Lepisosteus oculatus: one gene and its partners. The protein of the gene in region 4 purifies or fractionates together with the protein of the main gene of each other region. This does not show direct contact. Links are inferred from orthologs where the notes say so. Each region holds a gene or a part of one and is shown on either strand. Other genes may lie near its edges. The genes, in order: l3mbtl2, mgaa, coiled-coil domain-containing protein 71L and chromobox protein homolog 3-like.

Region 1 (7,363 bases), on a different chromosome or scaffold from region 4:
AAAAAATAATAGTGGTAATAGTAGTCGTGTCAGTGGTAGTATAAGTAACATTAACAGTAGTATCAGTGGTAGTATCAGTGACAGCAGGGGCAGTGTCAGTGGTAGTATTAGTAGCAGTAACAGTAGTATCAGTGGTAGTATCAGTGACAGCAGGGGCAGTGTCAGTGGTAGTATTAGTAGCAGTAACAGTAGTATCAGTGGTAGTATCAGTGCCAGCAGGGGCAGTGTCAGTGGTAGTATTAGTAGCAGTAACAGTAGTATCAGTGGTAGTATCAGTGACAGCAGGGGCAGTGTCAGTGGTAGTATTAGTAGCAGTAACAGTAGTATCAGTGGTAGTATCAGTGACAGCAGGGGCAGTGTCAGTGGTAGTATTAGTAGCAGTAACAGTAGTATCAGTGGTAGTATCAGTGACAGCAGGGGCAGTGTCAGTGGTAGTATTAGTAGCAGTAACAGTAGTATCAGTGGTAGTATCAGTGACAGCAGGGGCAGTGTCAGTGGTAGTATTAGTAGCAGTAACAGTAGTATCAGTGGTAGTATCAGTGCCAGCAGGGGCAGTGTCAGTGGTAGTATTAGTAGCAGTAACAGTAGTATCAGTGGTAGTATCAGTGCCAGCAGGGGCAGTGTCAGTGGTAGTATTAGTAGCAGTAACAGTAGTATCAGTGGTAGTATCAGTGCCAGCAGGGGCAGTGTCAGTGGTAGTATTAGTAGCAGTAACAGTAGTATCAGTGGTAGTATCAGTGCCAGCAGGGGCAGTGTCAGTGGTAGTATTAGTAGCAGTAACAGTAGTATCAGTGACAGCAGGGGCAGTGTCAGTGGTAGTATCAGTGCCAGCAGGGGCAGTGTCAGTGGTAGTATTAGTAGCAGTAACAGTAGTATCAGTGGTAGTATTAGTGACAGCAGGGGCAGTGTCAGTGGAAGTATTAGTAGCAGTAACAGTAGTATCAGTGACAGTAACAGCAGCAGTATCACCTACCTGCAGCTCTGCGATGGGGTCCTGAGGGGAGCCCACATGCCTCTCCACACTCGCCTGCGACGCGGAGCCGTCTGCTGCAGCCGGCAGCCAGCTGGGCGGCGCTGGAGCTGCGGAGAACACAAGGCACAGCGGCTTCCATCGCATCCCGTGTGCTGACCGACACCCTGGGTTCAGGCCCAGTCTAACACGTCCCGAATGGATGAATAAACTGAGCAATAAACAGTCGGCATCTGTGATTCACCAGAACCGGCAAGTCACTAGCAGGAACACAGCCCACATGTTCTTACACGCTGTAAAAAAATTAATAACGAGAAGGCTCAATGCTCAAGCTTACATTACTGTAGCAAATTCCAATCAAACTGTTGCAATAAAAGCAAAAACACAGGCCTTAAGTTTAAAATTGTGGACAATTTATGGTAAAAGTTAAGGTGTGAAGCACAGTTAATTCCCCAAAACGGTTGGATTCGATCCTCTAATCGGGACGGGGGGGCTACTTTACGCAAAGGGCGGGAGTGGGGAACAAGCTTCCCTGCCATGGTTTTGATACCCTGGCTTTTGCCAAGAGGTGTCCGGTTATTTATGGCAGACAGATCTGTTAGTTACTGAAAAAGTAGAGCCATCAGTTACGGCCTCTTCTCCTCTGTGACTGTCCTCATGTCGCCCCCGATCTCCCCGGGCCCTGACCTCACCTCGGGAGGGAGGGGACAGATGCAGGACCCCTCCTGGGACTCCGGGCTCCTCTTCCCCGCCACCCTCTTCGCCAGTGGGACCCGGAGCGCCGCCTTCCGGGCCAAGAGGGGACGCCGGCTGGAACAGCAGAGGCTCGGGCTGCTTGGGCGCGTCCAGCGGCACCACAGGCCCTGCAGGCTCAGCACCGGGGGCCCTGCAGGCGGGAGAATGGAATCCTCTTCACTTTTATCCCACTAGTGATACGGCCAGCAGCTCCACCACCCTGCAGCTCCCAGCCGGCAGCCCCACTGGAGCCCAGCAGGGTGAGCCTGGCCAGTACCTGGAGGGGAGACTCCTGGGGTCAATTGAGGCTGCTGCTGGGAGAGGTGTGAGTGGGGCCAGCAGGGGGCGCTCACCCTGCGGTCTGTGTGGGTCCTGATGCCCCAGTATAGTGACGGGGACACTATACTGTAAAAAGGCACCGTCCTTTGGATGAGACATAAAACTGAGGTCCTGACTCTCTGTGGTCATTAAAAATCCCAGGGCGTCTCTCGACAAGAGCAGGAGTGTAACCCCAGTGTCCTGGCCAGATCCGGTGCCCCATGGTCCTGCCTGGCTCCCTGGGAGAACGCCACCCCCTCCTGCCTCTCGCAGGATGCTTACCGGTTCCTCCTCTTCTTCTGCGGCGTCCAGGCCCGCGGGCCGGTGGCCCGGGTCTTGAAGATGGACGGGCCCCTGTCCTTCTTCCCCTCCGCGAAGTGGCAGCTGCAGAGCCTGGAGAAGACGCTCGGGTCTTTGTCCTGCCGCCTGGAAGAAAAGACCGGCTGGTTGGCCTGACCCTCAGTTCAGGTGCCTCTAGAGGGCCTCTCTGTGTGTTTGTGGGGGGACAGGACAGGAACAGGACTTGTAAGGCAAAGAATCGCCATCCTATTGTTCCTGAACGACACATTTCACGTTTAGAGAAGCTCACAGAAACTACAACCAGACAACCTAAAGCCTTCTGTCAAAACAGGCAGGGGTTTGGTCTGTCACTCAATAGCTCGATACTCTGACGCAAAACAGGCTGCAGGTTTTTCAGAGGCATACTGGTGAAACGAAGACACCTGCCATATGTCACTTTTTAACTGTTTATCCCGCAAAACGGCGTGCCAACCTGCATCGCTCTTGCCAAACTCGGAACTGCCTCAGATCCTTGGGGAAACGGAAGAATTTGCAGGTTTCTCTTTCGCTGTGATGGTTGCAGTCGGGGGCAAAACACTGGACCATCGCAAACGCGTCCTTCTGCGGCGGGCCGGCAGGCTGCAGGTACAAAGTCAGGCTTCGTGTGGAACCGCAGGCCCTGTTGTTATGGGGACCGTGATGTCACAGCTCGCCGCCGGAAGCGACGGCCAGCGCAGGCGCTCAAGAGCCAGGGTTCCCAGAGACAAGATGGCGGCAGCGATGGATGTGGACGCCCCGAGCGGGACCAACAGCGGAGCCAGCAAGAAGCGTTTCGAAGTGAAAAAGGTACTTTGAGTAATTCGAGGAGGAAAAATTAAGGACGGAGGGACGGAGAGAGATTAAGTTGATGACTGTTGTTAATCGGTTGTAACATACAGGTGTTTGGGGAGTAATACTGGACGCTTTGCGGTGTTTTTGCGTGGTTAGCTAACGATGGCTAATGGGCTTACGGATTTATTTCCGTAGGCTTTTCTGAGGGCGCCAGCTTAAACTATTTTTGTCGGGCGCCTGCTTTTTGAGAATAACAAGTGTGTATTCGTGTTTCAGCCGGTTCAGTTCTCCTCGCTTTTTTTGAATGACGAAGCTGTTTCTTTTCTCAAGCGCCGACAAAGCTGGTCGGGAGGGAAAAAAGCAATACACTTTTCAGCACCTCGGACACGGTTTACAGCACCAGATGCCCCTTTTAATAAATAATAATTAATTAATGAATAATAACAACAACAACAACAACAACAGCGCCCAGTAGCGCCGCTCTGCCGGATTACTCGGCCCTCCCGATGTGAGGCCGGGCGAGACTCACGAATGTCGCAATAACAACATGCAGGCAGAGAACACGAGCGGGTGGACACATCTCGAGCGGGTGGCCGGTCAGGGTCAGCCAGGTTGGTGCATGCACTGTCAGTAAGTGAAGTGTTCTGTCTTTCCCCCCGCTGCTAGTGGAATGCAGTAGCGCTGTGGGCCTGGGATATCGTGGTGGACAACTGTGCCATCTGCAGGAACCACATCATGGACCTGTGTGAGTAAATGGGAGTTCTACTGTACTGACTGCAAAACACTGACAGCGCAGAGCTGTGTGAATGCAAGGACACAGTAAGAGTGCACAGACATGAATTATACTGTTCTGACACTGATGCACTGACAGCGCAGAGCTGTGTGACTGTACAGGCATGGTTAGAGTGTTGAGACTAATTATACTGACTCCAATACACTGACAGCCCAGAGCTGTGTGAATGCACTGTCACAGTATGAGTGTACAGACATGAATTATACTGTACTGATGCACTGACACAGTATGAGTGTACAGACATGAATTATACTGTACTGATGCACTGACACAGTATGAGTGTACAGACATGAGATCCAGACGCTGGTGTCTTACTCAGGTGCCAGTCCTAAGGTGCCTCTGAAGCTCACAGGGTAACACGCTGCTGTGTTTTTCTCTCTCTCTCTCTCTGCAGGTATTGAATGTCAGGCCAACCAGGCTTCTGCTACGTCTGAGGAGTGCACTGTGGCCTGGGGCGTCTGCAATGTAAGACTGAGCGCTCTCCCTCCCTCCCTCCCTCGACCTCCTCTGGGCCTCATCCGCACAGACGCCACCGCCACGCTGGGCTCTCCCAGACAGCCGGTTTTCGCCCTGTCTAGCCCCTCAGAGGGGCACACGGGTGGCACTGGCGCCGTGTGAACGAACAGAGTAGCCGCGAGGGGGGTTCCCCTACGGGCGTGGGGGCGAACCCGCAAACGCCCCGCCCCCCTCCTGTAATCCGTGCCGCTTGTCTGAACCCCCCTGTCTGGAAAGGGGGGTGTGGAGATGAGTGGAAACAGGAGCCAGAGCTGCCCCCGGTATCTGGAACCTGAGCCCCCCTCCCCCCCCCCCTGCTCGACCGACCTCTCGGAAAGACCCCCAAGCTGACCGCCCCTCCTCTCCCCTTGCTCTCCCGCAGCACGCCTTCCACTTCCACTGCATCTCGCGCTGGCTGAAGACGCGACAGGTCTGCCCCCTGGACAACCGGGAGTGGGAGTTCCAGAAGTGAGTAGCTCCCCTGGAGTGTCCTGCCAGGATAGACAGGATCCCCTGCCGGGCATCCCTGCCTGGATAGACAGATACTTTATTGATCCCGTGAGGGAAACTGCAGTGCAACAGCAGCTTAACACAGAAACAGTGTAACGAATGATACAATAATAATAATACAGTACAATCAGTACAGTGAGAAGGGCACCAAGAAGAGTTACTCACAGTCCAGAACACACAAAGAACAGAACAGGGCTCTCTCCTTCCTGCTCATACTAAAATAGTTTAAAATATGCTTTGGCACCAGGATGGAGTTTTTAGGCTGGGGGGGGGGGGTGTGTATATATAGAGGAGGTCTGTTTTGTGAATGAACGCCCTTCCTGGCTAGCCTGGGCGTGAAGAGCAACACTCGGGATGAATTGTGGAATGTTGATGAGCTGTTTGTCCAGTCACAGTGCTCCCAGAGACGGGACCGAGCTCGGTCTAACGGTTATTGATTATTCGAGGTAGCACGCTCTCCTGCGGCACTGCGATCGAACCAAGAGCTGATTAATATTCATTCGCGTCTCGCGAATCGCGTTCTGGTAAAGGCGAGCTGTACGCTTGCGGGGCGCGCAGTTTGTAGAGCAGGTGTGCAGTCCGTGTCTGCCAGGACGAGAGGTGTGTAGCGTGTGTGCACCTGTGTGCTGGAATCGGGATCGTCTGGTGTGCAATATCCTGTTCCCTCTGGCAGGGCGGGCGGGTGGGTGGGTGGGTGGTGCTGTTACCTGGTGTAATGATTGATTTGTGCTTTCCTTGCCCTTGCAGGTACGGACACTAGGGTGAAGGACAGTGGACTGGGCAGTGGCTACGCTACAGGTCGCTGGCGTACAGCCCCTCCCTCCTCCTCCTCTCCTCCCCTCTGCACGCGGGCACTGGCCCCGGGCCTGGCCCCAGCTGTTGTGTGGGGTGCACTCTCTCTCTCGACTGCGTCTCCCCATGAGCTGGCATGAAATAGTCTGAGTTTTTTTTTTAAAAAAAACACGTTCACGGTCCGTTTGTAAATTATAAATAAACCTCTGTGTTCAATGTAAGGAGGCTTCCTGTTGTCTGTTTTTTTTTTTTTGGATGGGTGGAGCAGTGGTTCCCGGTGCTGGTTCTGGTGACCCACACACCTGCCCGTTCTTCTTCCAGACCCAGTCAGAGGCTTTGTTGCCGTATCCTGAACTGTTTGTTCGCGGCTCATCAATGCGGTCAAGCTCTAACCGGCGTGTTTGTTTAACGTGAAATTAAACCCCAAACTTGTGACTACAACCACAATGCAAATATTCCAAAGAAGACGGGCTTTGATTGTCTAATTTGGGGGGGTGGAATGGAACCGAGCAGGTGTGGGGGTCACCAGGACCAGGATTGAGGGAGAGGGCAAAGTAGGAACAATGGGAGATGTAAAAGTGCGTTCTGTGATGCAGGAATGCTGTGATCGTGGGTGAAATCTAACTGAGAGTGCAACTAGTCTGCTGCACTTCCACTGCCCTGGAGCCAGGTGAACCTCTTTCTACACCAGTGGGGTTTAACCTGCTGTCCAATATATACATTGTGTGAGCTAAATAGGAAACAAAGATAGTGCTGTACCACTTTTCTTTTGCTTAAATGGATTTGCATATCGCCCCCCCCCCCCCCCCCATAGCTGTGTGTTCTGAGGCCGTGTGACTGATACTGTGGGGTGGAGCTTGGGTCATGTGACCAGTTGCCTCTGCCCCAGTCCTGGTCCTGGGGGGTCAGTCAGTGTGTCTGCAGCAGGGCTGTCTAGTCAGTTGTGTGAACTGAACACAGCCCCTGCCGTAGTATGGGCTGATGATTTAAAAGCTCCTGAAGATCAAGGTTACACAAAAAAACACTCCAAATGACTCCAGAAAAAACATTTTCATGTCTTTATTTTTTTTTAGATTTGATTTAATTCATTTAATTCCCAACACAAAAGCTAGATATTTAGTGCTCTTCTCCATTTCAGAGAGCTGTCCTTTGCTTTAACAATTAAAAAAAAAATCTTGAAGTAGAGAAGTAAATAGGAAAGCTGCAAGTTAAACCTTGGGTTTGCACACCTGGATACACCAACAAACATCGCCCACTAAGGGGGCAGTTAAATATTCCCTGGGGTGCCCTGGACAGTGCTAGTTGCCTCTGGATCTTATCTCCTGAGTGGGTGCTTCAGGTATTGGCAAAACCTGCCCTTAGTTGGACTTCTGCAGTTCTTGATAGCCCCCCCGTTTTAACATCCTCCCCTGAAGGAGAAGGGGGCAGGTGGGATGCTCCCAGCTCTTTGAGGTTCTGGATACAGACTTCATCAGGGCCTTGCGTAGAGAGAAAGGTGTCCTGGCAGGGCAGATCGCCCCCTCCACCCCAACAGCCACAGCTGCGCACAGTGTGCTTTCTGTCATTCACTAATCCTCACCTGCCCTGCCCCCCCCAACACCCACTTCCACCCTATACCCCCACCCCCAGCTTTAGGGCTG
Region 2 (7,740 bases), on a different chromosome or scaffold from region 4:
AGCGAGCGCTCCCATGCCTGTCGAAGGACATGGTGAAGCGGGCCTCTGGCCGCCTCGACGATGCCAACCCCAAGCGCGTGGGCCTGGCGCGGTCTCCTTGGCACCACCATGACTGGCGGTCCCAGCGCGTGCAAAACCCGGCCACAGCCTCAATGGCGCGTGAATCCCTCCCCCCCTTCCAGCCAACGCGTTGGGAGCGCGAGCCCACCCTCGGGGATCTTCTCAACACCCAACTCGTGGCAACAGGCGCCGTCTCTTTCTCCGTGCAAACGCGCTCCACCGCGGCTCCGCTGAGCTGTTACCTTTCCCAGTCGTGCAAACATCACCCCGAAATCCGACCGTCGTTTGACTTGCTCATTGGCTCTTTCCGTTCTTTTTTTTCCCCCTTCTTACTCCGTACGTCTCACCCAGCTGGAGAAAACATGAGTGCTCTCAGTCACCTACGTCAGAGTCCTTGTGGTGGCACGCTCACGTTCTCGCCTAACGCGCAGGCTCTGCCCAGTACGGGACAGCAGGAGCCAGTCACGTGGGAATACAAAGCCTCTTTGCGCACGCACCGAGCTCGGCTAAAGCTTTTATTTTTTAAAATCGGGATCTGTGCGAGCACCGGCAGCAACGAAGGAAAAGCCCGCCTTTAAAAAACGCGAATGCACTTTAATCGAATGGGATTTAACGTCTTTATTGGTCGGCGTTCAAAAGAAATACTTTCACGTGGTGCCTGCCGTGTGAAACAAAATAGCAGCTAGTGAGAACCGATACAGCGGGGCACCGAGGCAGACAGAGCAGATGCAGAAAACGAAAACCAAGCACAGGTCAAACACTCGTTCATCCTAGAGAGAAGCCCACCAGCCGCGTAGTGGAGGTGCGAGCACGCATTTCAACAAAAACAGCGTTAACAAGCAAACACCCCTTTTCATACCGACACTTAAAAACGAAAGAGATCAAGAAAGATACATTCTAGCCAGCACATACGTGAGAAGAGATACTGTATAAGTAATATTGCCACTAGAAGCTCTTGGTCGCTATCTAGTGACACCAATCAACTAATTAGTTGTGGGTTTTTTTTAAATACAACATTTCGGGATAACTATTGCACAGTAATCTTACATTTGAAAAATCCCTAAAACTACCGGCTCCTGCGCAAGAGCTACTACACTATGTTTTGCCAGATTACTATGACAGAACTAACTAGCAGAAGCAACGTCCACGAGTGACAGCATTTGAGTACACAATCGAACCGCAGCGCAGGCGAGAGAGCTGTTAGTCTAAAATCGCTTGGAAACAACAACATAAGGAGTGCTCGCCCTTTAAACTGTAATTGCGTGAACTTTCTGTTATGGTCACCTTTGAGCTACAATGTCTAAGCTTACAGAGCAGCATTCTATTATTCTAAGAGAATAAAAGATTTATTTTACAGGTTTGCTTTAGGCCGTGTAGTATTCATATACAAGACCAGCCACAGCAGAAATAAATCTTGAATTTACTAAATAACCCAGAAATATAGTAATTGTCATTTGCTTTCCATTTAAAACAGTATCGAATTTATATATTTCAGTATTCCTCTAAACTATTGTTTTACATATACTTTATTCGATTTATATGTATATTTAGAAAGACATCTCTACATACAGTACAATGTTGTTTGCAATTGTGTGTTCTGCCTTTCGTGAAATATCAGCTATCTTTTTTCCTTCATTTTCCTGCGAGAACTAGGAGATGAATGTGCGGTTCAATTACATTAAACGCATAACATACATCAGATATGGGGTTTTGCTCCTACAGCGAGAAAAAAGAGAGAAGGAAAGTTCCAATTTCACTGCCAATAAGCATTCACACCCATTTCCCACACCTTTTGAGCATGGCAGATAACCAGAAGATGCTTATTAAATCTGAGCTTTTTATCCGGCCAACACGAACGTCTTTCAGTCCGCGTCCACGGCTAGATAAACCTATTTCTTTCGAAGGCTGCAGCCCATCCGACATTGAAAACGAGATGGGTCCTATTGGCTACTGCCTGGTCACATGCACCCCGAGCCACAGGCGAATACCGGCAGAAATGGAAATTGAACTGCGACATTATTAAGAGGGAAACTTTGGACTACGAATTCCTAAACTGACCCGACGATAAACAAGACCCCTGACAACTGCGGTCACCACGGTTTTACGCTCCACAATTGCTAGATCGCCAAGGGACATTCATCCATTTTTTTTTTGGGGGGGGGGATTGGCTCGAAACCGCCTGCACACGCTCAAGCTTTTTTTTGTCGTTGTTTCAAAACGTGTCGCTTAAACGCGTGATGTGCAGTGCCCCCATTGTAAGAACAGCACGCCTAACACAGATAAGTGTGAATCCGCGGCCACACGGGTTTCGAGCGAGCCTCATGACGACAAGGAAGCACGGCCTTCCCTTGGCTGCCGGCAGTCACGTGTCCCTCCGCAACAGCAGCAGTCCCAGGTACATTTGAGGGAATGGCGGGCGGTGATAGGGCGAAATAGAAACACGGATACTCAAAGCCCCGTTTTTTTTTAAAAAAAAAAGCGCTGGAAAAAAAAAAGGTGTCGAAGGCAGAGGCTCTTTTCGGTTTCAATACAAATCTCGAAGTGCGCTAAAAGCAGCCTCCGTGCTCAGGCGCTAGGTTTGGCGACCCGGGTCGTGCACCGCTCTCTCGCCGGAGTCGTGTGCCAGTGTCGTCAGGTGACCACCGGCAGCACCCTCCCTCCCCCTCCCGCGGGCTGCGCGCTTTTAAGTTAAAGGCAGCCGGCCGGCTTAAATCGACGCCGGCGAAACGCGTGTCTCGAACCAGCCGGAGCACGCTGTTAGAAGCAGAAGCGAGCGCTTTACCTCGAAAAACAAGACTTTGGCAAGCGGGCCAGTCCTCCCATGCACGGCTCTGCGAAGGCGCGGACCGGGTGAGAAACTCGAGGGGAGTGCAGGGCTCCGGTACTGCAGCGAGCATGCGCTGCTGCTAAGCGCTATTGATCCTCGGAGGTGAGAGGAGGCTGGCGGGGGTGCCGCTTGGAGGCAAGAGGCGGATTCGTCTCGAGTCGCGTTCGTCATGACCCTAATCGATGACTATAACGCGGGATTTCAGTGTATTCAGAGAAGATGAGACCCCGCAACATGTAGTACTGGGCCCTAATTCTACAATTCTACAAGATTTTAAGGCGTTATATCATAAAAAAAACACACCGAAGAAAGGGATGTTTGCAGAATTACTGAAACTGAGCCGAATTCTGGCAACTCTCGCAGAGTTACTGAACCTGTAATAACAAAGCACTATTGCCCCGAGAAAACAAGAGGCGGAATTTCACCCCGGTCTCCGGTGGCCGCAGTTGACAAACCCACGACGAGAGCCCAGCGTGTTCCCGGGGTCTCCGAGAGAACACTTCAGTTGTTCTTTTGTTTATATACAATTACGAAAAGCACAACGTGTTCCAGCCGTTTTCACCGTTAAGTGTTGTTCCGTGCTTGTGAGTGTTGGGGGTACGCCTCTGTCCGGTCCTGCTTTTGGGGGACACAGGGGAGGTTGGGACCGAGCCGGCCGTTTGCTGGTCCTGCCTCACGCTAGAGCCGGGCTGGTTTTCCGAACAGAGCCTGAGCCATCCTGGGCTTTGCCGCCCACCCGCGAACCTGCAAGCGCTACACGATTAAACTGTACTCGTTTCAAACAAAATATTTTTTCCATTTTTTTTAGAATGTCTACGCCATTTAAAATTACATTAAAGTTACATTCTGTTCACTTTTTAACTTTTCACTATGCCGCTTTTGACTGCGCTGAGTAGTCAGGTTTAACATATTTTAAAAAAGGTTGGGGCTGGACTGACGGTGTCCCAGCTCCCGGGACCTGGGATTGGTTGTGGACGTCTGCGTGGAGTTTGTCTTCTCTCCCCGTGGCCGCGTATGTGTCCCCCCCCATTTTCCTCCTGCTGTTTAACGTTAATAAGCGTCACTAGTTTATCCCCCGTCAAGAGTGTTTGTTGTCCTGAAGGGCAGATCTAAGAGAATCGGTGAGAGGACCGATCACGGTTCAAAATGGTGTCTGGCCTTTTTAAGTACTTACGTTTTAAGTAAGTTGCTCGCAGTTAAATACACAGAAGCCAAATAAACTAAAGGTAATAATGCAAAGGAACAAGTAATAGGTTTATTCCATGCTGAAAAAAAAGAAGAAAGAGAACACAACGTTTCGGCCGTGGAGCCTTCTTCAGGTGTGAGAAGGCTCCACGGCCGAAACGTTGTGTTCTCTTCTTTTTTTTCAGCATGGAATAAACCTATTACTTGTTCCTTTGCAGTCTACGCATGCTGACGCAGCTACCCACCTAAAGGTAATAATGTATTCGCTTTCAATTTCAGGAACAAAAAGTATCTTTTAAACTAGGATCACACCTTCCACCAGTTCTCACCGAGATAGTGTTTTCTTTTTAAACCCCTCCAGTAATTTACCCAGTTCAGGTTTTCACACCTCGGTCTTCGTCTCTCAGACTTTAGTTTGTCCAGAAGGTCCCCCTCCTCGCGCATCATATTCCTACTCTCTTCATCTTCCCCACCTCGTGTTAGAAAAAGGCTCCACACACCACACTTTGAGTTTTTCTACTTTTTTTAATATTTCGGCGTGGAATTAACATTTACACGTTACTAAATCGGATTATAAACCTGCGGTCAAAAAATAGCTGTACATTTTGGAGAGAAGACCTGCTAGAAAAAGCGACCGCGGATGATGGCGAAAGAAAAGTTACGAAAACTAGTGCTGAGAAAAACCCTAAATTATGTCTTTGTCACCAAGGCGCACCTCAGATCCCTTCAAACGTACGAACATTTCTGGGACTATATTTACCGTACCTCTCAAACAACCTGCTAGTTTATTTGCCAAGGCATAGTTTCACTGTCGCAAAGCAGATGATATTTGTTAGGTTTCAGACAGCAATCACCCCTCCACAAATTTAATCTTTAAACGTAACGAGAGAAATCAATTGAAGAAAAAAACACGACCCGGAAACTCGGCGTCGCGGTGGCCCGGGTTCAAGACCTGGGGTGCTGTCTGTGTGGAGTTTGCATGTTCTCCCCGTGCTGGCCTGGGTTTCCGCCGGGTGCTCCAGTTCCCCCCTTACAGCCCAAAGACATAGTGGTAGGTTCTGGCGTAAACTGGCCCTGGTGTGAGTGTGTGCGTGTCTGAGTGTGTGTCCTGCGATGGCTTGGCGTCCACGCCGGGGTGTACGCTTTGCCTGTTGGTAGACTCCGGCTCCCCCTGGCAGCGATTTGACCGAAGCGGCTAGATAATAGACGGATAGACCCGGAAATTCTCAACTCTCCCCCGACCCCCCTTCCGCCCTCTCGCCGCGGACGGCTGAGCCGCTTTCATTGCTCATTAGAAGGTACTTACACAGTATGTGGACTGAGCTGAGGAGAGGATGTTTTTTTAATGTAGCCTATTCTTTCACAATATGAAATGGTAGTGGAGTGTGATCTACATTACAGGATCAGATTAAACGAACGTAAATGAATAATTTATCGCCCCTATGAATAGTCCAACGGCATTTTCTCATACTCTCAATCAGGAAAATGTATAATCAGGAAAAAAGAAGCGTCAGTGTCCTTAAATACCTACAAACGTTGCTAGGATGAATGCGTTGTTCCGTTTAATTTTATTTCCACGTCTGCGTACACGGTGCAGTTTAAACCAGGTATTATTATAATTCTTTTTGAGGCAGCTTGAAATGAGCTCGCAAAGAAAGCTGGGCTCTCCTCTATCAAAATGTGATTTTGTTTGTTATCCGCTCGTACTGCACGTAAGATAACGAGAAAACGTCTTTCGTGTCATGAAAGAAAGCAGTCGCTGACTTCGTGCACGTTCCCTTAGGTTTGAAGGCTTAGTGTGAGCTGATAAGGCGATGCCTTTCTTAGAACACCAGTGTGTACAGATCTGTAGAGAATATTAATAAACTTTACTCGGCGTCTGAAAAAAACCCTCAACTTGTACCCAATGCGTGCCTGAAGACTTATATTAAGCCAAATAAAGCATTCAGAACCGACTGTCGCCGTCGGTATAGAGCTTCGTTCAGCGTCACTGATAGAAAACGAAAGCTTCTTTTGGTCACGTGATAGGGAGAACGTGTTTGAGCTTTCAACACGCGCAGGGAGAAATCTAAGGCAGAGAGCATTTCGTTTCTCTCATGAAATGTGACTTATGAACAACACAACACAAGGCAAATTTGTCCCACGCGATATTGCAGCAGGAGATGGCTCCGATCAACCTTTAACAGAGCTTCGGAATGGAGCGATTGGCATAATTAAAAGCGTCGAAGAGCCCACCCCCAGGGGTTAATTCTATTATCATTGTGGAAAGGAGACCTGGCTGATTCAGAATGTATCTTGACCCGACAGCCTGAAATTGAAAGAAGGCCGTCTAAGATCATATATGGTCATATCGGATAAAAAATGAAACTGTTACTGTAGTGAGACAACCAAGCCGATCTTCAACACACTTAAAGCGTTAAATAGCACAGGTAGAACCTCCTGAAGCAGACCTGTCAACAGGAAGTTTGGGGAGAGCTCCATCCTCCACTGAGACTGAAACATGTTAGGTTAGAGTGGGGGTGTGTGTTGTGAAGGAGTTCTCCTCAATGCTTTTAATGAGATGTGATGTTGTGAATCGCAGTTTCTGCTTCATACTATCAATTCAGTCTTCAGTACTAAGGGACTGTGTATAAAATATATCCATAGCCTCGGTTAAGGCTGTGGGACAAATAGGCCATAAAAGCAGGGCGTCTCGATAATAAAGCACTTGGTATCTTGCACCAGCCTATCCAATGACGAGCCGTACACACCGAATAAGCCGACTGTCTATGTCGCTTTTTACAAGTACACATAGCTGAAATACTCATCTCTGTCTTTAATTTAATACACAATACATTACGTTGGAATTCAGCCTACGAGAAATTTCACAAAAAACAATTACCTCTTGAAAAGACGTTTCATAAATATTGTTTGTGATGATGCATTTCTACACGATGAACAACACTCACTGGGTTTATATTGTAAGGCCAGTGGAAAAGAAAACCATGGATTTGCGATGCCAGCGTTTCAAAACGTTCTGCTGGCAAAATGATTTGTCAGGTGGGTTTGTGAAAGTAATTGGGACCATATCTAGTACACTTAACGCTAGATTGGCTAAAATACTGTTTGCTTAGGATTATGCTTAACAATGTTATAGTTAATGCACAACATTGCCTTTTTAATATACTTTCACTTAAAAAAGATTTAAAAAAATGGAATAAAATGATTTTGAATTAAGGAGAGTTTAGGGGAAGTCTGGAAAGCCTGCATGTACAAGAGTGGAAGTTAGCTGGAACACCAGGGTTAAAATCTCATCTCCTTTGGAACAAACAAGCTGGTAATACCTTGAAATATTTACTGGTTGGTATATTTGTACCGATTATTGTCTGTTGTGACTCTACAGGATGCACCGACAGACGAATAAACAGAACACCAGGGACCAATCAATCTTTTTCATGTGTTTTTTTAATATCTCAACTTTTACACATGTAACAGTTATTTAAGGAAGTATTAAAATCTTTAAGTAATGACAGCATATTTACACACAGTTGTGAAAACTGACAACAGAGCAAGAGTTATCAAAAAATCTCTTTAACAAAACATTACTTTTAATATCCCTTGATAACCCACATATGGAATGTACCCATAAGAGTCCTGGGGTAGCTGTGCCCCTTGATGTTTTTATGAGA
Region 3 (7,709 bases), on a different chromosome or scaffold from region 4:
CGCGTCTTTGTTTTAGCTCGACATCACAATGCAGCCGCTACCAACTATCTTTTTGCTCTCCTTTCCAAGATGGCGTTCAAATTTATTATACCCCCAAATACGCAACTGCTCCTGCGATCTTCGTTTTAATGGAGCATGTCGGAATGAACTGAACAATATTGCCATCTGCTGTTTAACTGTCCCCAGCAACGTGTACTCTCCCGTTGCCAGCTTCTGAAAAGTCCGCCTCATTATGGCTTGAAAACAATACATCATTAGCCACGGGGAAAGCAAGTTCTTTTTACATATTGCTGTTGAATTTGGCAAAAGTATGGATTTTGAAGCCAAAACCGGAAGCTGTTGGTAAAACAATCAAAACCAATATATATACACACACAGGAGGAAAACGGAAAGGACAACACATTCGTACAATTTACAGAATAGTTTATTTCAAAGATAAGATTCCAGTTCAGACCACGTACAAAAAAAATATCCAAAGCATATCAAATAATATAAAAAGAACGAAGAGATCAAAGCATAAATAAGACATTTTCAGAAAGCCCTTTTAACATTGCATACGAGAAGTTGCAGAACCCTGTTGTACCACCACCGCTAAAATGTTAATCGTTTCCAAACAGTCCATCGTGTCCATGGAATCAAGGCCAGCCCTGTGTATCTTCGTCAGCCTCCCCAAACATTGCTAAGCATCTGCTCACTTCTGTGCTGCGTGTTCAGTTGCTGTATCTATAATAGATACAGTTAAACACCCATCTGTACTTTTTGTAGGATTTTCTTGCATTAAAAATACAGAGTGCAGTCGTTTCCGTCAAAATGGCAAATTATATATACATTCTTTACATCCAGTAAGGTTTTCAAACCACCAAGCAGACAATGGAAAACTGGATTTTTTTTTTTTAGCTTGGCCTTAGCTGAGCCTTGCCCAGATATCCACTCTCAGAAACCATTGTTATTCCTGGGAAGGGTCACAGCAACCCACAGCCATTAGCGGAAGCACAGGCGTGAAGTGGGTCTACGCCTCGGGTGGGATGCCAGACCATTACCCGGCCCAAATGGACTATTTAGAGACAAAAATTCTAAGACAGCCAGCACATCTTTGGAAGGTGGGAGATGAATGAAGACCGACAGGAACTTCGTGGAGTTATTTAAACATACGGGGTTATAAAAAAAATGAGTGCTGTGACATCAATGCCAGGATTTCAATAAAAAAACCTGCTCACCTTCCCCTTCATTTACACCATTATTTGCATTATGGCTACATTCCGAAATAAAGGGGAAACGCAATCATGTGTCCAATTTGGCAGCTGCAGGATGTGGTTCCATAAGTTATTCAAATCAAAATAAATATCAACGATTCCACAAAGTTGCACTATACCTGCTACATTACTCGAGATCTCATTTCCCCCCCAAAAAAACTTGTACTTTAAACTTGACAAATGCTTTAAATAAAACGACACAAAATTCTAAAGAGTGTTTACAGAGACATATAGAACAATAAATAAGACACTATATCACTTGAGGAAAAAAACTACCATTTATGAAAGAACTCAGTCTTGTTGGCTGCAACAACTAAACTAGGTTAAAAGTGTGCACTTCGACTGAAACCTATCACAGTTTAGACGTGCGAATACATCAAACGCCATACTGACATGCTGTGCCGACATGGTGACAATATATCTGTCCATCCACGCCTCTTAGTGACTTCTGTAATTTTGTTCCGGCGACAGTGACGTAGAGGGTGACGCGGAGTTGATTGCGTTCGCACACTACTCGACCCCTGAATAAAGATAACGCAGCCGAAGTTCAGAACAAAAAGTTCTTGCCCTCGGTTGCCTTCCACTCCTACACGTATAGTTTAGATTTGAACCCATCGGGGTTCACACTGCTGGTTCGTGGACAGAGTTCCAAGATATAGTAGAAAGTATGTCACTCAAAAATTGTTTTGTACATCAGTAAAAACCATGTAGAAATGGACAAACTGTCTCGTGAGCTGGTGACTTCAAAAACGTAGCTGGTAATTACCATTTTGGCATAAGAATTAAAATACAAGTTAAATTCAGACTTAACTATTTAAGCCTTTCCAGAAGTTAAGAAAAACGTCCTTTCACACATGAGGGAAAAAAGCGTTTTTTTACAAGTTTGCAGCATTAGGAATTCACTTTTTTGTGCTTTCCATTGCTTCTTATTTTCCCAGGGAATTACATAAGGTAATACAATATTAAGGTAAAGTTTCAGGAAGAATTCCGTTTAAAGTGCAGTTTTGTCGTAATAGCAGCCATTCCGGTTTCAGAATTCATGTTACATCGGCATAACCAAGCGCCTGAGCCTGAGGACGGGAGTGAGATTCACATTCATCAGTTTCTCAGCTTTGCGTCTCGCCGCAGGTATGTCATCTCCCGAAGAGAGCTCTTCCAGCGTCACCGACCGGACAGAAATCAACTGAGGAGTTGCTGCCCTCCAGATTTCCTCCAGATCTTTCATCTGACAGGGGTGCACGCCAGCTGTGCCCTGCGAGTTTCGTGTCCGCGACCCAGACCCGGTCTTCTTCCTATTTTTGCTCGATGTCCATGGTTTTCTGCCCCGCTTCCTCTTCACGCGTCGTCCTACAGCCTTGGGCTTCTTGGAAACAACTTTCGAAGTACTTTCGCCTTCACCCTTCCTCTTATCCGGCACGACCGATCGGCAGGATGAATACCCGTACACATCCTTACTCCTCAGAATAACAGGAGAAAAGCCTTCGTGCCTCAAGCTGCAAAGAAAATCCCATATTTCGTCCTCGGAATTAGCTATAAAGTCTTTGATGGGAGGAATGAAAAGTTTAAAGGCTTCTTCCAGCGCCCCAGTCTCTCCAAGGAGTGAATTTCTAGATCTTGAGAACACAACTTTTTCCTCCTCCATTTGATTTTTTTGGCTTGGTTCCTGACCCTCTTCGGTGACGCACTACCACCAGCTGCCGCTAGAGCCGAAGTTTCGCGATATACATCCACTCTTCTGGAAAGGAACAAAATGGCTGAGACAGCTGCGGACGTGACGACTTTATAAAGCAATTTTCAATTACATCATCACAGAAACCCCTCCCTCTCGAAATTCAAACTTGTATCCCAGGATTCCCTGCCTCCATGATTTTGTTTCCGTTGTAAAGGTTGTTTATAAAATCGAGGACGCTAGAATCTGTAGTGTAACTCAAAACTACATTAATCCTCACACAAGTGTTTAGTTGAAATATGATTTTGAAGCAACTGCACCATCTTTTTCTGAATGAAGAAAAAAAAAGGCAATTTGCAAAATCCCCCCCCCCACCTGACAAAATCAAGTATTACCAAGTATTATTGACAATGTCTACTAAAACAACCTATTTTTGAAATTGTCATAGAAGACATAATCTAAGGACCAAATCTGAGAATGCACCCTATTCCCGTTCAGAGAGATGTTTTATGTAAAATAAACTCTCCTGAATACTAACTGTTTAACTGTAAAGCAACAATAGCAGTTCAGATCACAAAATGTATTGTATTTTTGCTATTTAATACTTAATTAGTTAAAGTAATTCTAAGCATGAAAAAATACAACCACGTAAGAGTTTTTGCAAGAAACAAATCTTGTTTCGTCAGTTTTACAAGTCTCCCTGGTGGTCTTTAGTTGAGATGTATTAACATTTTTCTTAAATTCAAATTACTTTGTTACATTCTTTCTCAACATTACAATAGCGCCAAAAAACACAATTTTATCAGATACAGAGTATTGCTTTTTTAGCAGGTTTCATAATGTGGGGAAACCTTTTAAAAATATATGCAGACAGATGATTTATGGGAATTAATGTTAATTACTTCTATCTGTGGCCCAAAGTGAGGAAATGGAACTGTCTAAACAGATTCTTATTATACATTTGTGCATATAAAGTCAGTGTTAAAAGCCAAAGACAGATGCTTTGCTTTTTTAACTTACTGTGGCCAATAAAACACACATATCTCTTACAAGAAACAACTACTAGGATTATGGAGTTTCCTTGAGAGCAACCTTTCCATATAAACACACACACAGTTCTAACTGAAAAAATTCACACTATTATTCTTCAAGTTATTTTATAAACGGAACCTGTATATTAGTGATATCTTTTCAGAGTTTATTAGTCATTCACCCTACAGAGAAATATATATATATTCCAGTGTAGAATATCAAAAACCAAGTAATGAAACTTAAAGCATGCTTAATCATATCAAGTAAGGTCAATTAATCGAGATTTAAGTAGATTTTGTTGTGAAGATAGTAAAGATTAACATTGGCAGTTGTGTAGTATGAGTGTCAGGAATGTGAAGCATTGGAAAACTAAAATCAGAGTAAGTGAAAATGGGCACAGAGCAGATAAGAAAGAGCATCCAAAGACAAATTTAGGAGGGATTTGTGAAAACCTGAAACCTGTAAATGAAAGAAATTAGTTTGTTATTGAGATAAGAGAGAAATTGTGAGCCAAGTATAACGATTATCTTGGCTACTGATGTCTTTCTGGTGAGTTCCTTTCTGGAGTTACAAAATGTTTATTATGAAAGATTAATGTTGCCACACGTGTCCCGTTACAAAATGTTTATTTTATGTTTATTAATGTTGCCACACATTTTCAGTTGCAAAATGTTTATTTTATGACTGGATATGTGTGGCAACATTAATCTTTATATTGTAAACTAGACTTTCAGACCAAATTCATTCATGCTACATCTTTATGAAACATGGGACTTCAAGTTGGCAAAAATAGCTTTTGCTGCAAATTACCTAGTTCCTGCTATTGGAAAATATCACAGCATTATTGTGCTTACCTAAAACTGAAGAAAGGAAAATTCATTCTTTAATACACGAGGATCTCTTCATGGTGCTGTGTTCTCAATAATATATTGAGCCTCAAATTTACAAAGGGATGAAAATCAATATGAGGAAATAATACATTTGAAACACAGTACGCATCCTGAGGAATATCCAGCATATTGGCAGAAAACACAATTAGGGAAAAAAAACTGGGGAAAGCATCACATTTCAGGAAAGAGGTTCATGATCAGAACTAGCAAACTGAAAGAATCAGGTTGCCGAAGATGCCTTACTTACACAATTAGAAAACAATCAGAAAAAGAACCACCGGATGAACAAAAATCAAACCTGAAACTAAATGAATATAACTTTTGTTTCCTGCAGCTACTATCTTTAGGTCTGCTTTGAATCAAGCAGTCCTGTAGTAAATCCCATTGATTGCGCTATCACATTGGAAATTGACAATGGACAGGTTTTCAAAGAATTAAAGTCCTGTATACAATGCAAGAAGAGATGAATAAATACACAGCACAGTTTGAAAGAGCAAATAATGCCCATTCATTGGGATATTTTATCTGCAGGACAGAATCTGTGTTACATGGTGTTCAAAAGAAACAAAGTAAATTCTAGACCATGTTAGTTTGTCAATGGTAATACACAATTAAACAAGTAGCAGCAGTTCCCTTATAATTTTGTGAAATAAATTAGGACACAACCACATCCATAGTAAAATTGAAAGAAAGCTCAGCTCTACTTAACGTCTACTTAGTCTTAGATCAATTTACAAAGGGCAGCATAGTAATCTTATCATGCAAGCAATGAACGACATTTACAAAAACTGCAGCAGGTAACATCTCTGTAAATAGATGCACGAACACAACTCTTGCAACACCAATTGGGATCCATCAAAAGGAGTCCAAGGAGCCTAATATACAGTAGATCCAGGTTTAATTGGTGCTCATTTTCATGGCGTTAAACAACTTAAATTACTAATCTATATAAGATCAAACCTTCCTTTGCACCAGGAAAAAAATACTCCAGATCTTTTAAAAAAAGACTGGTCTGATCCCATCCTTAGGAAAGACCTAGATTTTGATTGGATGTTGTAAAGAAAAATGTTGCACTTCAATCCAGATGAGACAGTAGTGGGTGATCTGCCTTCTGCTCTGCAATCACACCTACTAGAAAGATCAGTAAATGATTACTGCCTGCCTCACCAACAGAGTACAATACAATGAATAACTTTATGTACAGATGATGGCATACAGTATGAGCAACATACAAGTTCTAGGGTCGTCCACGAAAGTTCCAGGGTAAAAGAGCAAAGTCCTGAAGCCAGGTGAGGTGTTTCACTGCTCAAGAAAAACATGGGACCATTACCGCCTAGTGCCACTCAATTCAGTGGTCATGAAGTGCCTGTAAAGTCTTGTGTTGTCTAATACAAATTGCGGACTCCCTTGACACACTTCAGTTTGCTTAGTGTTCAAACAGGTCAGCTGATGATGCCATTTCTCTAGCACTACATAATACCCTCGAACATTTAGACAGGTGGGGAACCTAAGTTAGGATACTGTTTATATATTGCAGCTCGGCTATTAACACAGTTGTTCACACCACAATGATCCCATAACTCAGGAATATGAGCTTATGCACCCCTATCTGCAACTGGATAATGGATTTCCTGACGGGCAGACCTCAGATGATGAAAACTGGCAACAATATCTCCTCCACAGTGATCCTATACGCTGGAGCTCCCCAAGGCTGCTGTCTCAGTCTTAGGATATATTCCCTTTTCACCAGCAGTAACCATATTATCAAATTCGCTGATGACACCACAGTTATTGAGCTGATCGGTAACAATGATGAGTCAGCTCATAAGAGTGAGGTGGATCATCTTACAAGATGTTGCCCTGACGTTCAGGGTCAAATTGTTGTCAACAAGACAAAAAAACTAAAGAACTCATTGTAGACTTCAGGAGACCCAGGGAGAGTCACACCCCAGTCAGCATTGAGTGCACAACAGTGGAGACTTGGATTGCAGATCTTGGCCAGCATGGCTTGGTCTCAGAACACAAAGCCCAGCCTGAAAAAGGCACAACAGGTCCTTCAGGTTCTGCGGTGCCTAAAAAATTGCGGTATGGGGAAACAGCTACTCGTGAACTTTTACCGCAACACCATAGAAAGTGTCTTCACTAGTGGCGTCACTGTATGTTGACTACCTACCTACTATGACTACCATACACGACAAAGCATTGTGGCAACGGCACAGACGATTACAGGATGTGATTTGCCATCACTCGGTGAGATTCACATAATCCACTGTCGCGGTAAAGCCCAATTCATTATTCAGGATCTCAACCATCTTGGCCACAAACTGTTCTCCTCCCTGCTCTCTGGCAAGTGTTACCACTTTCTACCATGTATTTAGCATTCTTTTTGAATGGATTGTCTGTACACACTGCCATTATTTATTATTTACTGTTTGGTAATGTACTGTTCACAATGTATGGTGTTATCTGTTGTACAGTGTTGTCTGCTGTACTGTGCATGTCCTGAGAGAACGTCGTGAGTACGAATCCCATTGTACATATATATATGGCAAATAAACTCCTCTGTTTATTACTATCCATAAATTACGCTTAGCCACCAACAGGTAGTAGTGCTTCCATTTATGGGTCAGATATAATAATAATAAATAATAAACTTTATTTTATATAGCACCTTTAAAGGTGGCTTCTCAAAGTGCTTTACAGAATGACAACAACAATAAAAAGAATACACAAGATAAAACATAATTACAATATATAGAGGAGACCGTGGATGGTGGTACTAAGAAAAGAAAAGGGGTGATGTCAATCCTTAATATTTAGCTAGATATATTTTTCTAGAATGCCACATGCGAGACATCCCAGGTA
Region 4 (7,904 bases):
GTGCTTTCTTCACCGAGACTGGGACCTCCAGCAATTCACTCTTCAGCGCAGCAGGCCACGCGACAGCACTTACAGCCTCCTTTTTCTTCTTGGCTTTGCCTTCTTCCGACTCGCTCTCCGAGACGGATTTCCTCTTGTTGGACTCCGTGCGCTCCACGGTGGACTTCTGCGAGGCCAGGAAGGCTTCGATGAGCTCCGGGCAGTCCAGGTTCTCCTCTGGCTCCCATGTGTTATCAGCGCTACAAGAGGCAACAGTGACACTCACTCACTGTAGGAACACAGCTTCCAACTCAGAACTACAGCACTTTTACTTCACGACCGAGCCTGGCGCAAGTAACCGCAGTTTCCTAGTAAATCCACTCGCCGAGAACTCGGGTTTAGCATTTTAAACACACTGAAGAGCTCACTGGCTCAGCCGAACAGATCTCTTGAAACGCGGGCTTGACTGAATACCTGCACAGTTTTTTTTAATCATCAGAAATACAAATTCCATCACTCTTAGAATGTTTCAGTGTATTACACAATCTGGGGAAAAAAAACAGAACACCAAGTACAAAAAGTGAAGTGTTATTGCACTAAAAAAGGAACACGACAACAGTCGTGTCTCTAAACAGACCTGGGCAGTGAGCCCCAGGCTCCAGCGCCACTGTGTGGAGTCGGGTCAGAGGGAGAAGAGCATCAGCAGAGCTCTGGTGAAGAGCAGGATTACACATTCATGCTCAAAGACTTATGACTTTGGAACCTGACCCTTTGGAGATTGATATGTGAGGAGGAGAAACTTAAAATCCATTTCACAAGGGCTCGAGGTCAGAGTTCACGTGTTGAGCGCTTTTCCTTGGTACACAGGCTGAAGACTATTCACTCCCACATTGCCAGCTTTGGCAAGAGTGCTCAGAAGCCATATTTCCCCAGGAATTGCTGAAAAACCGTTAACCAGAACCCATGCAGCCAACCCCCACCCTCAGCACGAGACTCGCACTTACTCCGTGAAGCCCTTCCACTTGAGGTAGTATTCCACTTTGCCGTTCACCACGCGGCGATCGATCACCTTCTCCACCACGAACTCCTCGGGCTCCGCCTCCTCCGTCTTCTTGTTCTTCCCGTTCTGCTTCTTTCCCATGGTGCCCTGCGGAGCCGGGGGGGGAGAGGGGGTCAGTAACGAGAGCCGAGTTCGATGTGCCACTCCAACAACCCAAACTGCAACGTCCCGGGATGAGCAGCGGAACATCGAGAACGAGGGGAATGTCACGCAGGTGGAACAAACCGCAAGTCCTTCCAGCTGTGGAGCTGCACCGTACTCTCTCTCCACGCTGGACAGCAGCCCATACAGAAGTACTAAACCCTGACGCAGGGCCCTAACACAGCCTGCAGCTCACCAGTACCTGGAGGGGAGACCTCCTGGGAAAGCTGAGGTTGCTGCTGGAAGGTGTTAGTGGGGCCAGTAGGGGGCGCTCACCCTCCGGTCTCTGTTGGTCCTACTGCCCCAGTACAGTGATGGGGACACCATATTGTTATAAAGGCGCCGTCCTTAGGATGAGAAGTAAAACCTAGGTCCTGACTCTCTGTGGTCAGGAAAAATCCCAGGGCATTTCTGGAAAAGAGTAGGGGTGTAAACCTGATGTCCTGACGAAATTTCCCCAGGCTTCATCACTCTGCTCTCCTCCCCACTGAGGGCTAGTGTGTGGGGAGAGTACTGGTGTATCATCCAGGTGGGGCTGCACACTGGTGGTGTAGGGGATCCCCATTACCTGTAAAGCGCTTTGAGTGAAGGGTCCAGAAAAGCGCTATATAAGTCTAAGGAGTTATTATTATTAACAGCAAGAGACGTTGCCAGGGGTTATCGCACACCTGTGAGGTGCGGGCACTGTTCGCGAAACCCGTTAGGAAACAGGAGGACTGGTCCTCCCCGACACACCGCAGGACGGGCTACTTTCCCCAGCTGAACCCCCCGGAGCGACTGCCGCGCAAGAGCCACTCCGGCGTCGCCGCCTTTGTGCAGCTGCGCTGCAGCCCCGGGGCCGGCTTGACCCTTCCTCCGGACATTCACCTCAGGCCCCGACTCACCGGCGCCGAGAGTCATTTCATTAGGATATTACTTCCACCGACACCGTCCCGGTTTCCCTCCTTTTTAAACGGAGAAGAAACACGCTTTTTCCAAGATGGCCGGACAGCATAGCATGCCCACGGTCTCGGAGAGCCCCGGCCGAGCCGACTCACGCCGGACACCCGGGGAACAAAGGGTCGTCGGGACGTCCCAGCCTGGCCGGGTGCCGAGGCCTCCTCGTCTAAGACACCGAAGAGTATTAAAAACCCCACCAGACATGGACGGGGGATCCCCACAAGTTTAGGGGCTTCCCGGCATCCGCAGCACAGCGGCGCCGGCGTCTTCGGACACCCGGGACCGAGAAGAGCGGCGCCCCGCAGCGGGAACAGGGGTCTCCCACACGAGGGCTAGACCCGCCTGCAGCCCCCGGCCTGCAGCCCCCGGCCGCCCCGCTCTCCTGCCACAGGGGCTGCTCAGCGGGTATCGGCGTCTGAAGTGTTGTTGTGCACAAAATCCCCGAGAAGAGAAGTCGGATCACAGCGTTCCCCCCGGGCGGCCCTCCCGGGACAGCGGGGGGGGCGGCCGGTGAGGTCTCCGAGCCGCGGCTGCGGGTCAGCCCGGCTGCACAGAACTGCCCCCGGCCCCTCGCCCCACAGCCCCGCCGCCTGCCCGCGCCGAGCGGCCTCTTACCTGCGAGCTGTCCGCCTGGCGCCAAAACCCCCGACCTCTCACAACCCGGCCCGCAAACTGCTCCCCGTCCGGACCGCCGCTGACCAAGCGCCCTTGCACAGCACAAAACAGCACAGCCCTCACGCTCCGAGCACGCACTAGTCTGACCCGCTGCTTATTTTTATTCCTCTTTCTTCGGTTCAAACGCAAACACTATTCTCCAAGGAGCGCACGCCGCTTGCGTGACGAACTTCACAATGGTCCCGCAGCGTAAGAACCGCGCGCAGGGGAGCGTAAAGGTGAGAGTTCACAGGAGGTGACGTCACGGCTAGCGTCGGGTCTCGCAAGCGTTTGTGGGATACTGGTGGTATCAAGTAGAGTTCGCAAGAGGCGTGGCCATCAAATTATTTCACGTTTGCAGATTTTTTTTAAACAAGAGAAAAGGTAACAGTACATGCACTGCTGCTAATCCACACTATGCTTCTTTCACACCGTTCTTTGGTTTCCAGATGCTCTTTATTCAATAGGCACCTGATTGCTGTTAAGCCCGTTTCCAACTGTTGCACTGGGGCGGCAAACTTTCTGTAATAGTTAAAATTGTACTGGAATTTTGTCTTCATTGTTGATATCACTGAGGACACACAGGCCGTAAGATAAAATATATAAAACTTATCTTTGTTGTTTTCATTTATTAGAGAGTTTATTGCACACAAGGCAGAGCTGTCTCACAGCTCCAGAGTGTTAGAGCTTTCTGGCTCCTGTCTGCATGGTCTGCCTGCATTCCTGTGGGGTTTTACCAGTTTCTAGATCAGCTCTTCCAAAACATTGTGTAAATGTAACACTCCCACCTTCAGGAATGGTGAAAATAGTGTCAAGGGTTTAGCCTGACCTATATGCTGCTCCTGTGATTCATGCATCTATTAGGCATATATCAAACAGGTACTTCATCTGGACCTCCCTGTAATGAGAGTTGTTGACATTAGAAAGTTGTAGGCTGTAGCTGTGGACCTCATAGCTGGAGTCTGGGGATGCAGGCTGGACACAGGATCATTCTCAGCCGCGCCCATCCCAGGATCTTGGGAAACAGGCGGAGCGGAGTCCGAGGACAGGGCAGCCAACAGAGCGGACGTCATGGAAAACAAAGACGGAGAACAAGAGGAGTCTGGCAAGAAAATCAAATCTGGTGCATTCACCCAGAGCATGACCTGAGAATAAAGAGCTGTAAGGGCAGGAACTACAGCCAGATCTGTACCAGACGTAGTGAAGATGCCTCTGCTGTTTCCAGCTCTCAGAGCTGATCTGTACCAGACTGCCTGAAGACATTTCTGTGCCTCATGTTTCCTGCTTCTGAGGTATCGACACAAAAAAAGCCACGAGCCTTTTAATTATGTAAATAGAAAAACACTGCAGTGAAAAGGAAGTTTGAAATGACTGAAAGACTCAGGGTAAACAGTTGGTTTGTTTCAGTTTTTATTTTTCTGCAGTGCATCTACAGTATAGGCCACCAGATTCATTAAAAACACAACATCAAGTCAGAAAGCACCAGGTAAGTAGTATTTTTAATCCAAAGTCCATAAAAAAAGATAATTTAAATCAAATAGCATAAATTAAACAGAAAAAAAAACTATGCTAAGAAACAACAACAAAAATAAAAAAATATTGTTCATGGTGCAATTGAACCCAACTGGAACCCAAGCATTTCAGGAAGTGCTTCTCCTGCAGTTTGCATCCCCACACAGAGCGGAGCCAACAGAGCAGAGGGGCAGCATGTGGACTGACAGGGGTCACTGCCCACTCCCATCCCCACAGCTTGGCTGCCCTGGTGTCTCGCCTGCCAAAAGCTTATTCTCAGCCCTGCATCTGAAGCAGATTGGTTTCATTTCCTAGATGGTGTTGTAGGTCTAGGTGGTATAATGGCATTATCTCATCAGTTTTGTAGATCTGATCTTCAGTTATACAGACTATCCAGGGCCTGCAGCACAGAAGGACGACCTGTGTGATTATTATGCACAGCAAGGGCCTGGATACAGCCTTCAACATAAAACCTGAAAGGCCCGTGTCTTTGTGAAGTTGGGCACCAGGGTCAGCTGGCTGACCTGGGCTGGCACCGCGATGGCAGTGGAACAGCGAGAGAGGAAGGCGCCGCCCTGGGCGTGCTCACCTCACTGGGAAGCAGGCGAGGGCGGGCAGGAAGACACCTGAAAGGCTCCGAAATCAAACTAGAGCGGAAAAGAGGAGAACAGAAAAAAAAACTTATTTTCAAAACTCCATGACTGCAACTGGGCTCTGTACCTGCTGGGATTCTGTCACAGTGGCTCGTGGACCAGAGCAGAACCAGTGCCACCCGCTGCACAGCAGCCAGCTGCACGGCGCCAGAACACCGGGTCACCGCGGGACAGTCGACACCGTCCAGGGTTCAAGGGGGTGACATGAGCCCCGAGCCCTCTGCACGACACAAATACACTCGCAGGGAGGTCGGAACGCCTTCAGTATGCCATGTCTTTGTCATTTCTGATGCCATAAGAACAGCGGTAAAGATACAGTGCCAGGTACTTGCACCCGTTTCTCAGAAAACGTGTTCTCTCCAAGAATCAGCCTGGCATTTATCCCAGTTTGCAGTCACAGAAACCCTAGTGCAAATATTCCAGACAAGTAAACACTCATCAAAGCTGATCCATTATCAGTGCAGACCACCACTGTCTCGGCAAACCCGCAAGGAAAATAACTGGTTTTGTGCTTTTCATATTTCAGAAGAACATAAGAAAGGTTACAAACGAGGTCCGTCTGGCCCCTTTTGGTAAGTTTTTAACCTTTCTGTGTGATCCCATCTGATTCTTTACAAAGTACTGTATCGAAAGTCATAAAAGAAAAAATAACCATTTTCAAAACTGTAATACATAATACAAACATTGTAAAATATAGTGCATATAGAAAATGCAGCTGTTTGATCCACAAAGCGCTCTTTGAAAGAAGCCTCCCAGAACATTAAGGCCACTTAAAAAAAAGTTTGAACTGTTTTTAACGGTGTTCAGTTACTCTCCACTCCCACGAGCTGAAGTTTACATTAATCAAGCATTAATCAGCTCAGTGAAGGCATTTGTTGGAAGTTTGTAATGTCTAATGTTGTATAATCGCACTTGGAATTTACAGACTTTCAGTAAATTGAATAACCCCGAGTAACAGAAAAGAATCAAAAGCCGACGAGTCAAGTCAAGCTATTAACTAAACCAGTAAGGCATGTCAGAACCGTGAGGTCACAGAGGTCTGAGTGACGATCTGCTGTGGTACCCCCCCGTTCGCCTGGAGACACATGGCCAACGCTCACCTGCAGACTAGCTGCAGTACAGGTGGAGATCTTGCCGAACACAGGGAGCACAGTGGTCACCCTGCCTGTACTGCCTGATCGTACACCCGGGAAAACTGCCGATTTCAAATCCAGTTCATTTCGAAGGCATCCAATGATTTCAGTCTGATGACTGAAACGGAGGATGAGGATCTCTGCAACACCCCCACAGTGCAGTCAGTGCAAACTCCTTACTCGCTTGTGTCCGAGGGAGAGAGCAGACTCAACCTCGTGCAAAATGGAGGAAATATTCCTGTGAGCAAGGACAGGGAAACATGTTCCATCAAACAACCGCTCTCAAAGACTGTGATGTGTTCTACACACATAGAAATGTCAACCTGAAATTATGTGCTGAAGCCATTAGCCCATTTGAGTATTAAAATGCTACATGACACGCATGTCTGCAGCCAGTACTGTCTTTGAGTTCCTGATGAGGAGTAAAGGGGAGTAGTGAGAATGTAGTACAGTAGGCAGCTGGATCAGCATGCGCAGTCTGCAAAGGAACAGGTGACAGGTTAATTCCATACAGAAAGCAAAAGAGAATGTTTCAGCCTCTTCAGGTGTGCCTCTTTTAACTTCCAGTAGTGAAAAAGAGCCCTGCTGGAAAACGGTGTCAATGAATAATGCCGCAGGGTGAGACGGTCAGCTGCCGGCCTGAACTAGTGGGAAATCACTGGTGTGGCCTGTGCCGCAGGTGAGCGGCACGTGTACTCTGCGCTCCCAGACTGTTAAACACGTGCGGGAACCTGTGGGGCAAATGAGCTGCACTGTGGGAGGATTGGAAACCAGTGACTTTCCCAGGTCAGCCGGGCGTCTGCCTCCACGCGCCGCTACTCACTAAAGCGGCAAACCAAGGGTCTGCATTTGGACACTGTCCTCAGACCGGTGGACTCGTCCACTGTACATTTCTACCGTGTTTCCAGTGTTAAAGCTACATTTATTATTCCCCTCTCAACTTAAAAAGCCCCGGTTTCACTTCTCCAGAAGAGCAAGAGCGTCTCGGCCTTCTTCAAAGCGCCCCCCGCCTCTGGGCCGGCCCCTCTGACCGCGAGGGGGATCGCTGACCGGTCCGGGCGCCGCGCGGTCAGTGCTGCTTGTCCTTCCTGGCCCGGTCGGGCCTGCGCCGCTGCGCGCCGGGCCGGTGGGGCACCAGCAGCACGCTGCCGTCGCTGTGGCACTGCAGGGCGTAGCGGCCGGGGCTGACGGGCCTGCCCTGCTCGTCCCGCAGGCGGCGGAACACGTCCCGGTACAGCTGGCCCAGCCGCTGCTTCAGGCAGCCCAGCGACTTGCTGTGCTGGGCCCGGTCGCGCAGCAGCCGGTCCCGGTGCCGCCGGAGCCGCTCCACCTCGCCCTCCAGCCCGGCGATGGCGTCCAGCTTGCGGCGCCGGCAGTTCTGCGCCGCCACCTTGTTCTTGCCCCGGCGCCGGATGTCCCGAATCAGCGCCACCTGGGCGTCGCTCAGCTGGAAGCCGGACAGCAGCTCCAGGAACTCCTCCACGGGCATGTTCACGATGTCCTGCACGGACAGCGGGAGGTCCAGCGCCCGGGCCCTCCTCTCGTCCCGGCTCAGCTCGTCCTCCTCGCCGCCTTCCTTCTTGACCGCCCCGAGGGGCCCGCGCCCCGCCTGCTGCCCCCGCGGGCCGGACCCGCGCTGGGGCGGCGGAGAAGAGTACGTGTGGTCGTGCAGGACGCCCTGGGCCAGCTGCGCAGGTGAGCGCCCCGTCCCCTGGGGGCGACGCTCTTTGAGGCTCCAGGAGGCCCCCGCGGCAGCGTCCCCGGACAGCGAGTCGGAGTCGGTGCTGTAGCCCACGGCCCCCTCGTCCTCGCAGTGGGACAGCGAGGACGCCT

Evidence for each region.
Region 1: the proteins of chromobox protein homolog 3-like (region 4) and l3mbtl2 purify together in Homo sapiens (affinity purification with mass spectrometry; 5 studies listed by BioGRID and IntAct, with this or other methods). This does not show direct contact. The link is inferred for Lepisosteus oculatus from reciprocal best matches to the Homo sapiens genes CBX3 and L3MBTL2.
Region 2: the proteins of chromobox protein homolog 3-like (region 4) and mgaa purify together in Homo sapiens (affinity purification with mass spectrometry; 4 studies listed by BioGRID and IntAct, with this or other methods). This does not show direct contact. The link is inferred for Lepisosteus oculatus from reciprocal best matches to the Homo sapiens genes CBX3 and MGA.
Region 3: the proteins of chromobox protein homolog 3-like (region 4) and coiled-coil domain-containing protein 71L purify together in Homo sapiens (affinity purification with mass spectrometry; 3 studies listed by BioGRID and IntAct, with this or other methods). This does not show direct contact. The link is inferred for Lepisosteus oculatus from reciprocal best matches to the Homo sapiens genes CBX3 and CCDC71L.

The regions. Positions count from the first base shown.
Region 1 is NC_090707.1:38,080,067-38,087,429, reverse strand, and holds the start of l3mbtl2 (lethal(3)malignant brain tumor-like protein 2), read right to left. Parts: upstream 3,006-7,363; 5' UTR 2,909-3,005; coding exon 2,796-2,908; intron 2,450-2,795; coding exon 2,306-2,449; intron 1,857-2,305; coding exon 1,663-1,856; intron 1,081-1,662; coding exon 974-1,080; intron 1-973. Other genes in the region: E3 ubiquitin-protein ligase RBX1, read left to right, coding at 3,071-3,148, 3,800-3,878, 4,321-4,391, 4,804-4,889, 5,679-5,691; st13 (hsc70-interacting protein), read right to left, coding at 7,355-7,363. UniProt on the Homo sapiens protein: Putative Polycomb group (PcG) protein. PcG proteins maintain the transcriptionally repressive state of genes, probably via a modification of chromatin, rendering it heritably changed in its expressibility.
Region 2 is NC_090703.1:12,651,897-12,659,636, reverse strand, and holds the start of mgaa (MAX dimerization protein MGA a), read right to left. Parts: upstream 3,013-7,740; 5' UTR 2,958-3,012; coding exon 2,843-2,957; intron 458-2,842; exon of another isoform or gene 303-457; intron 274-302; exon of another isoform or gene 209-273; intron 1-208. UniProt on the Homo sapiens protein: Functions as a dual-specificity transcription factor, regulating the expression of both MAX-network and T-box family target genes. Functions as a repressor or an activator.
Region 3 is NC_090702.1:39,616,336-39,624,044, reverse strand, and holds coiled-coil domain-containing protein 71L, read right to left. Parts: upstream 3,002-7,709; 5' UTR 2,896-3,001; coding exon 2,296-2,895; 3' UTR 407-2,295; downstream 1-406.
Region 4 is NC_090705.1:811,730-819,633, forward strand, and holds the start of chromobox protein homolog 3-like, read right to left. Parts: upstream 3,010-7,904; 5' UTR 2,735-3,009; intron 1,127-2,734; 5' UTR 1,121-1,126; coding exon 984-1,120; intron 240-983; coding exon 74-239; intron 1-73. Other genes in the region: nfe2l3 (nuclear factor erythroid 2-related factor 3), read right to left, coding at 7,141-7,904.